2 linked regions of the Canis lupus familiaris genome follow. The protein of the gene in region 2 interacts with the protein of the main gene of each other region in a pairwise test. Links are inferred from orthologs where the notes say so. Each region holds a gene or a part of one and is shown on either strand. Other genes may lie near its edges. The genes, in order: KCTD13 and ZMYND19.

Region 1 (4,335 bases), on a different chromosome or scaffold from region 2:
TTATGTAAAACTCACTACAGTGTACATATTTTTCTTGTTTTCCTATCTTTTGGAACATGAGAACAGAATGCCAGAGGTAGGAACTGACTTAATCAAGGTCACTCAGTCAGCTGTGGTAGAGGTGACACTTAACCCACAGGTCCTGGCTGTGCTTTCTAAGCTCTCTTCAGAACCCTGAGATCCATAGAAGAGAAGCCCAGAAGTTGGGGCGTGGAACCCCCAATCTGTCTTTTGGGGAGCAGCTCTGATTCTAGGATTTCATTGCTAAAAAAGAAGTTAAAAACAACAACAACAAAAACCTGGCTGGGGGTGGAATACTGCCTCCCAGGACAGGACCAAATCACAGAGATCATTATATTCTAATTTAAAATTGGATTTTTTTTTCCTAGTGGCACAGGGAGTTATTTAAGATTTAGGAGCAAAGGGGAGACTAGACTGTTTAAGGATCATCACTCAGGTGGTAGTGTGATTGCCGGATTAGCCAGGTAGGAACAGCAAGGAGAGAACAGTCATTTAACTACTGTAACAGGGACCCCTGGGTAGCTCAGCGGTTGAGCGTCTGCCTTTGGCCCAGGGCATGATCCTGGAAATCAGAGGATCGAGTCCCACATCAGGCTCCCTGCATGGGGCCTGCTTCTCTCTCTGCCTATGTCTCTGCCTCTCTTTGTGTCTCTCATGAAAAAATAAATAAAATCTTAAACAAAAAAACTACTGTAATAGTCCTGGCACGAGGTGGTGAGGGAGGTCCTTCCTGAGGTAGCAGGAATACACAGGAAAGCACCTCCAACCAAATTTTCTGTAGTTATGGCTAGTCACAGCCAGGCCATAGGGAGCCTCTCCAAACAATACCCCAGATACCTCCCCTCTATTTTTTAATGTGCTAGTATCTAAGTGCTTAGACAGCTCTCCCAGAGACATGGGTATAAGGTGGGACCCAGGGCCCCTCACCTGCAATGCTAGCTGGCAGTCCTCAATCAGACCCTGTACCAGGTAGTAGCGTGCTTCGCCTAGTAGCTCCCCCAGTTCTCTGGTATTATCAGGCAGTGGCACGGACCCATCCCGCAGGTAGTTGAGGATTGTACCAAAGTGGCGGCCGCTCCGGTCAATCAGCACCCAACCTGGTGGAGTGGAGACAGGCAAGAGGAAGGATGGCTTTGCAGGGGGCTCTGGAGCTACTAAATTTTTATGAAAAACAGATTCCAAAGCTACAGGTCTGAATACTGATCTGTCTCAAACCTTTGCCACATCCAAGAAAATCCCTTTAAAACATCTCCAGTGAGTTTTCCCATAGACCCCTTTTTAACATTCGTAGACACAGAGAATGAATTCCTTTCCAGGTCTGTTCTGAATTGAAAAAGTTCTCACCATGAGAAAATGATTGCAATGAAAATGATTACCTTACCAACAAACTCTAACCTTTGGCATTAGTTCTGACTGCCTTAATTAAAATATCTACCCCACCCCCCAGTTCACTACCATTTCAACCTTTATATTATTCATAGAACTTCACACGTATTTTTCATATGTGTATTTGCTTATTATTTTCCTCCTGCCCCCACAAAAAAGTGAAGTCTATAAGACTAATCTTGTCTGATTCATTTACCAAAGTATCTCTGGCACTAACTGGCACTTTACAAATACTTGTTGAATAATCAAATCCTTCAACCTCAGATATTTTAAGATTGAACTCCATCGCCCAAATTTTAATTTTCCTGCTCTTTACTATCATTGTTATACCCCTCTCAATACCTTCCCCCACCCTCACAAAAACTACAGTTCCACCTGGGCATGTGGGTTCCAACCCTGAAGGCAACACTCCAAGAAGGTAAGGTTCACCTGCCAAAGAGAACTGTCCACCCTTCTCTCTGGTGTCCATGGCAAACCCCCAAAACAGCCTTTTTCTACAGTCTGCATTTACAAATGGATCCCTAGAGCGTACGGGGACCTGTGTTGGAGGAATACAGAGACAGACAACTCCTCCAGGCCGGTTGTTAGCAGTGCTGAGGTAGAGAGGCAAACATAAGGCTGGGCAGTTGGAAGGAACATGAAGGTTGCCTGGAAGGGTGCTGCTGGTAGCAGGACTGGTTCCCAAGTCGTCTGAGCTGAGGAGTAAAGGGTGGGAGAATTGGAGGGGACTGGTAATAAAAATTCGGAAGTGACGTGTTGAATTACTTACCACAGCGCGTGTTGGAAGCGGGCATGTGATGTTCCCTTAAATGTTGGTTATTGCTAGGGATAAAGGACTGAGATAGGAGGGGAATTATGAATGAGGAAGGGGCGATGAGACTGGATGGGGGGGCTGGAGGGAGGTGAAATGAGTTGACTGCACGGTAGAGACGCGAGAGAGGGGATATGAGGAGACTGGGCGAGGGAAGGCAGACGGGGATCTGGAGGATGGAGGACCACACAGGTAAGTGCGGCGCGGCGTACCTCCCGCGTCAGTGAGCACCTCCGCGCGGCCGCTGAACATGGCTTTGAGCATGGTGTCCTGTCCCGTGAGGGTGCGCAGCGTGGTGTAGTGCAGCGAGCCGCCCACATTCAGCTTCACGTACTTGCTGTTCGGGGTCAGCGGCTTGAGACCGTAGGCGGCGGAGCCAGGCTCGAGACCCGAGGGCTTGGGGGCTTCCAGGGACGGGGCCTCGGCCGCCGCCGGGCCCGAAGCCTCGGCCGACATGCCGGGGACTGGCGGCGGACGGCGCGATCCTAGGCTCTCTCCGCACCCTCCGGCGGCTCCCAAAGACCCCGAGACCCGAGCCGTCGGAACAGACAGCGAGGTCCACACGACCACACGCCGCGGCTACTCCGCCGCAGCCCTCAGCCCCATCACGCCGACGCCGCCCGGAAGCCGAGGCTGAGCAGGTGCGCAGGCGCGCCAAGGTCCCGCCCCTGACCTCGCGCGCCGGCGGTGCGGAGCATGCGTGGTGACCTAGGGCCCCCGTGGAGAGGTAGCGCGCAGCCTCCGGCGGGGTGGGATCCCGCGCGACGTGAGGTACTCGCGCGGGTCTTGGACAGTGGTTGGAGGACGGGCTCCGCCACATGCCTGCTGTGGAAAGCGAGGTCGCCTCGCGGTGGTTGAGTCTCTGCCCTCAGAGCGCTTCGCGGGCGTGAAAGGCAAGGTTTCCGCCTCCCATCCCCGCGCTTTTGACAGACTGCGGAGAGCTTCGAACAAAGCACCAAGGGAGACTTGTACAAGAGGCCAAAGTGAGGTGGCCTCCTTAGAGAGGTGACAGTAGTGCTAGGACATGCAGGGTGTGTGTAGTAGGTAAGGTCGTCAGGAAGTGCGTGCCTGAGGAAGTGATGCAGAGCCGAAGCTGAGAAGACGAGGCCACACTAAGGTGTGAGGGAGAACTCCAGGCAGAGGGAAGTGCACACACACAGACTCCAGGCAGAAACACGCCTGTGGTATTGAGCAGAATGAATGTCAGGGATGGCTGCAGCGGCCAAGCAAAGGTTTTAGAATCCCAGCTAAGGTCTCGAGACGCCCAATCCCGAAAAAAAGAAAGAATAAGTCAGGGACATGTTATTGACAGGAAAATGTACTGAGAAGTGTTTATCTGACTGGATCTACGTTCCGTTGAGAGGCTGATACTTCAGAGATTTAACAAAGGATCTTAATGTCTAGCATGGGGGTTTGCTGGAGGGAAAATGTAAACAATTTCCACTCTCCCACAAGTTCATTGGGTGATCCTAGCCAAGTCACTTTTCTCTGGGCTTGGTTCCTATTTTGCTTAGTGTGGGGTGCAGATTTCAATGCCAGGGAACAGTTAGGAGTGTACATGAGTGGGGTGGGGCATTACAAGGTATTGGGGAGTAATGGAGCCTGTGGTGACCCAGAGAGCTCATGTTTTACCAAAAGAGGTTGCCAATTCTGATTTTTCAAGTGCAACTGATTTAAAAAAAAAAAAAAAAAAAAAAGGCAGCCCAGGACAGCTGGGAGCTAGTTTACACTCTCCCTGTGGAAACCTTGGTAATGCTAGGAGCAGGCCTGGCACTATCAGCTAGGCCATGGCACTCTGACAGATTGAGAGAAAGACCATTTCATAATTATTTCTGAACACAAAACCAACATTGCCCAAACACAAAAATGACCAAACATAACCCCTTCTCCTACAGTTTGAGTGACTGCTGCTTCTTTACCAAGTACAGCTTTTTAAAAAAAGATTTTAGTTATTTGACAGAGAGAGAGAAAAAAAGAGAGAGAGAGAGATAGCACAAGCAGGGTGGGCAGGAGAGGGAAAGGGAGAAGCAGGCTCCCTGCTGAATAGGGGGCTTGATCCCAGGACCCTGGGATCATGACCTGAGCAGAAGGTAGATGCTCAACCATCTGAGCTGCCC
Region 2 (4,586 bases):
TGGGATCTGAACTGGCCCTTCGCCACACTGACAGAGAGCGTCAGGAACAAGGCTGCTGAGAGGAATCCAAGTATGTCAGTCAGTCTGTGGTCAAACAAGATGGACCATGCTAACAGTTCAGCCCCTTGATTTGAGAGCTGGGCTGCAAAAAGCCAAGGATGGAGCCCCCAACCATCAAACACACAGCCTAGAGAACACCCCATCTGAGCAGTTCCAAGCAGCAGTTCCACCGTGGACGCCACGAGGAGGCAGGCCATTCCTCACATCCCACCAACAGGCTCAGCAAGAACACAGTGGACGGAGCAGAGTCCTCCCTACCCCAGAGAGAGAGCCATGCCCGGTACAAGTGCCTGAGCAGAAAGTGCACTTTTAGACTGCTCCATTAGTGGTACGCTATACAAATGAGCCATTCCTCTGGGTTAGCGGCAATGATTCAAAGGTAACAAGAGGGGTGGTGGGGGGAGCATGACTCCGATAACACATCCTCTGTCAACAGGGACAGGTTGCTGCATGCAGTACCCAAATGAGGAACAAGCAGCTCATAAACACCTACCACAGCAGCTCGTGAAGGAGCCTTCCTGACCCTCTTCCTCGGTTTTTGTCAAAGGCATATGCGAATATCTTAGCACCATTTCCATCTGCATCTACTTCCATCCGGGCCTGAGAGAGAAATGGTCTGTTAAAAAGCCTTCAGGTCTCAGCTACATTTTCAAACTTTATTAAAGAAGTGAAGTGAAACAAACAAGTTAGAGCAAATATATGAGGCCTCTTTCTGGGACCCCGGGCTTTGCAGAGGCTCCCAGACATGAGAAGCCAGCCCTGTATCCCAACATACTCCACAAACCACTCTGCAAAACACTGTAGACATAAAGAGACAAGTTTTCCTACTCTTAGAAAATGCCCACAATTCAGTGAGAAAAACAAACCCTTGAACAAGTAACTAATAGCTAAGCCCTGAACACGTAGGGTAAGGTACAGAGCCCCCACACAGGTGAAAATCCGCATAGGACTTTTAACTTCCGGAGACTTCACTGATAGCTTGCTCTGGACCAGAAACCTTACTGAGGCAAACAAGTGATTAACACAAACTTTGTATGTGAGACATATCGTATGCTATATTCTTAAAGAAAACGTTTTCAAAGAAGTCATGATGAAATATATTTACAGTAATAGACTATGTTTATCAAAACCCCCCCCACATCTAAGTTAACCTGTGCAGTTCAAACTCTTGTTCAAGGGCCACCCTTTCTGTAAAAACACGAAGGGCTGAGATAAAGCATAGTGGGTCCACAGAGCCCTCAAGGATTTCTGAAGTGGAGGAGCCGGTAGGTGAGGATGGGCAGGTGAACAGAAGCTCATCCCACAGAGAAGAGTGGAAGGCAAGGGAGCTCAGGAAGATGGGGGATGGAGGAACGCTGGGCCAAGGCCAGAAGAAACATGAGGTGGCACTTGGACAGTCCCCTAGGGAGCCAGGGCTTATCCAACTGAACATCATCACAAACACGACACAATGTGATCTACTTGCACCAGGGTGAAAGTGGGAGAGAACCAACAACACAGGGTAAAACCCATTCCTCCTGACCCTCCTCAAGCATTGGCTGAAAGCAGGCCCACAGAGAAACAGCCATCCTTACCTCAAAGGAGTAGCCCTCCACCAGCGGGATATCTTGCTCATCTATCAGTGTGTACTTCGTCTGGAAATTAACCACGTTTCGCAATGTTACATTCAGGGTCACAGTAAAGTTTTAGTAACAGAAACCGCCCCTTCAGGTTAAATGAGGCTAGCAGGTGAGGGGCACCAAGTACCCTACCCCCAAGGCAGGTGGTCATTTCCCACTCCAGACTGTCCCAGAGGAGTAGGAATCAGGCTTCACTTCCCATCCATACGCGCCTAAGCCCTAAGTGCCCCTGGACTGGCTAACCTCTAAGCTGTGTTTCAGGTGCTGCTGACCCTCATTTGAGACTGGGGCTTCCTCGGAACAGAGGAGGGGCCCTGGAGTGAGACAAGGCATACAGAAGGCCTCGAAAACATTTATTTATTAGGATGGGTGGCAGTACACAGGTGCTCACTGAACTGTTTAGCTTTCTTCTGAAATGTTCCAAATAAGTTTTAAAGGATGATCTGAATGCAACCAGTCACTGAATAAGAAAAGGTCTCAGAGCCGATGGGGAGCCCACCCTTCCCCAGGTAAAAAGCCACATTCCTCTTGCAGGAAAGGCAGGAAACGGCCCCCCAAACGGACTAGTCTCATTCTTGCTCGGGGAGCCTCCTTCTAAGATCTAAGTCGGTTTTACCTTCATCTGACTGCCTCTGCTCCTGTCTCCCACCAGGAGCTGCCGCCGCTGGGGATGGGAACAGGGTTCCCATCCAGGGTAAGGTCCGTGGCTGGAGCAGCTGCACGGCCGGCCGGCTCCTGGAAACAGCCAAGCCTCAATGCCCACAGGTGCCAGGAAGCCCCGGCCTCGAACCCGCGGAGGGCGGGGCCAGGTAAGGGAGAGAAGCAGAGGGAGGCCCTGCTCCGGGAGGCCCATCGAGGCCCGTCCGCACTCGGCCAGCGCCGGCAGCGTGAACCCCGCGCGAGGCTCCACGACGGGCTGGCGGGCGCCGACACGCACGCACACCGTCCTGCCGCCTCGGAAGGGCGCTGTGCTGCCCGCGGGGACCCTTCGCCCGCCCGCCCGCCCGCCCGGCTCCGCAGCCCCCGACCCCACGGCCCCAGCCCAGCGTCCCGGCCCCGCGGCCCCGCGGCCCCGCGGCCCCCGCGCCGCTCACCTTCCCGGCCACCCGGCCGAGCCGCACGATACCCAATTTGAAGTCGGTCATGGCCAGGCCTGCGCTCGGCCGGCGGCGCCGCTCCCTCGGGAGGCGCCGGGCCGGGACCGGGACCGGGGCCGGGGCCGGGCCGGGGCGGCGCCGCGGCGCGCCGGGTGGGCCGGGCCGGCGGGCCGGGGTCGGGGCCAGGCGGGACGAGGCTGGGCCGGGCTCGGGCCGCCGCCGCCTCGGGCCCGCCGGACCTGCCACGCGCCACCGCCGCCGACGCCGCCACCGCCGCCGCCGCCGCCGCCGCGCGCACCACCGCGAGCGGAGCCGGAGGCGGGGTGCGACGCGGACACACCCCCGCCCGCCGCCGACCCGCCAATCGCGGGGTGCGCCCCGCGCCGGCCTGCGCGCGCCGCCGCGCCGTGGCCAATGGGAGGAGGGGAAGTACGCCGGCGCACTGAGGAGCAGTGGGAGCGCGGGGGAGGGGCGCGGCCGAGGGCGGCGCTTGCGCGGCCGCCCCGCGCTACGTCAGTTTCGCGGGAAGCTTTGTGCTGGCGGCCGCGCTGCGGCGTCTTGCTCCCCGCTGGCCGCCCTCGGCTCAGGCCGGGCGCCGGCCCCAACGCCCGGCCGCGGCCCTGCCCCTGGCCCCCGAACCCACGCGCCGCCCCCTCGCGGAGGGGCGGCCCGAAGGGTCCTGCGGAACTCGCTGCGGCTCCCGGTAAACGGCTCCGCACCCGCGGGACGGCGGGCGAGGGGCGAGGGGCGAGGGGCGCGGGCCGCCCTACTCCCTCCCTGGACACCGCCCCTGTGCCAACGGGGCCCGTCTCCCCCGCACTGCCTGCGCTCGGGCCGCCGCCGCCTTCCCCGCGGGTCGGGCCGTGAACCGGGCTGCGGTGATGGGCCCGCGGCCGCTCTGCCCTCCGCTCGCTCCTGCTGGGCGCTTAGGGCGGGAGGACCTGAAGGCTGGAGGGCGCTCGGGGCGGGAGGACACTCGGGGGCCGCCGCCCTTGTTACCTAGCAACCACCCCGCCGCCCGCACTCCCACTGAAAGTACCCGGGAGTGCAAATCAGAACGGCCCGTGATGAGTGATAAAGGCAGTGGGGGAAACCAGGAGAGCAGCATTAGGAGGCTAGGGGCCTAAGGAAGGTGGTGGGCAGGCTCTGCCCCATTGACTCATGGACTTGAACAGTGTAAGGAGTGGAGAGAGCACCATGTGGGCATCTGGGGGAAGAGCTGGCCACAGGGCCCTGGGCTGGGATGTTGGGAAAAGTGGGATTGTCCGCTGTGACCAGACAGGAGTTCAGGACAGGAACAGGGCTGAAGATTAGAGATGTGGGAGCCAAGGGTGGTGGTTAGTAGGCTCTTAGAAGAACGTTGATTTCTATACTTAGCAAAGGGAGGCGGTTGGAGAATTTGAATAGAGCAGCTTTTCCATGAGCCAGGCTGGCTGAGGGGTACAGTAGTTTAGGGGGAAGACTGGAAGCAGGAAGGCTGTGGAGCCAGTGAATACAGCAGCTAGTCAGGGGGTGATGGTGGTGTTTGGACGTGCGGGGCCAGTCTTCTGTAACAGTCCGCTTAAACCTGTTTATGCTTCAGTAACAATCCTATGTTCTCAGCAGCTTAGCAAAATAAACATGAATTTCTTGTTCATGCTACGCATTCAGGCTGCCAAGCAGTTGACTGTATGAGGATAGAGTTCAAGGGAGCAGTCCAGCCTGGGGTATAAATTTGGCATTCATTAGCACACTTGTTTAAAAGCCAACTGGATGAGATCACATCAGAAGAAAATGCAGACAGCGAAGAGAAGTCAAAGACAGCCTGGAT

The links.
Region 1: the proteins of ZMYND19 (region 2) and KCTD13 interact in binary tests that used the Homo sapiens proteins (3 or more experiments, as listed by UniProt). The two-hybrid records come from large-scale screens. The link is inferred for Canis lupus familiaris from reciprocal best matches to the Homo sapiens genes ZMYND19 and KCTD13.

The regions. Positions count from the first base shown.
Region 1 is NC_049227.1:18,120,715-18,125,049, forward strand, and holds the start of KCTD13 (BTB/POZ domain-containing adapter for CUL3-mediated RhoA degradation protein 1), read right to left. Parts: upstream 2,861-4,335; 5' UTR 2,675-2,860; coding exon 2,431-2,674; intron 1,119-2,430; coding exon 949-1,118; intron 1-948. UniProt on the Homo sapiens protein: Substrate-specific adapter of a BCR (BTB-CUL3-RBX1) E3 ubiquitin-protein ligase complex required for synaptic transmission.
Region 2 is NC_049230.1:48,177,103-48,181,688, reverse strand, and holds the start of ZMYND19 (zinc finger MYND domain-containing protein 19), read right to left. Parts: upstream 2,873-4,586; 5' UTR 2,825-2,872; coding exon 2,774-2,824; intron 1,695-2,773; coding exon 1,635-1,694; intron 661-1,634; coding exon 554-660; intron 1-553. UniProt on the Homo sapiens protein: May be involved as a regulatory molecule in GPR24/MCH-R1 signaling.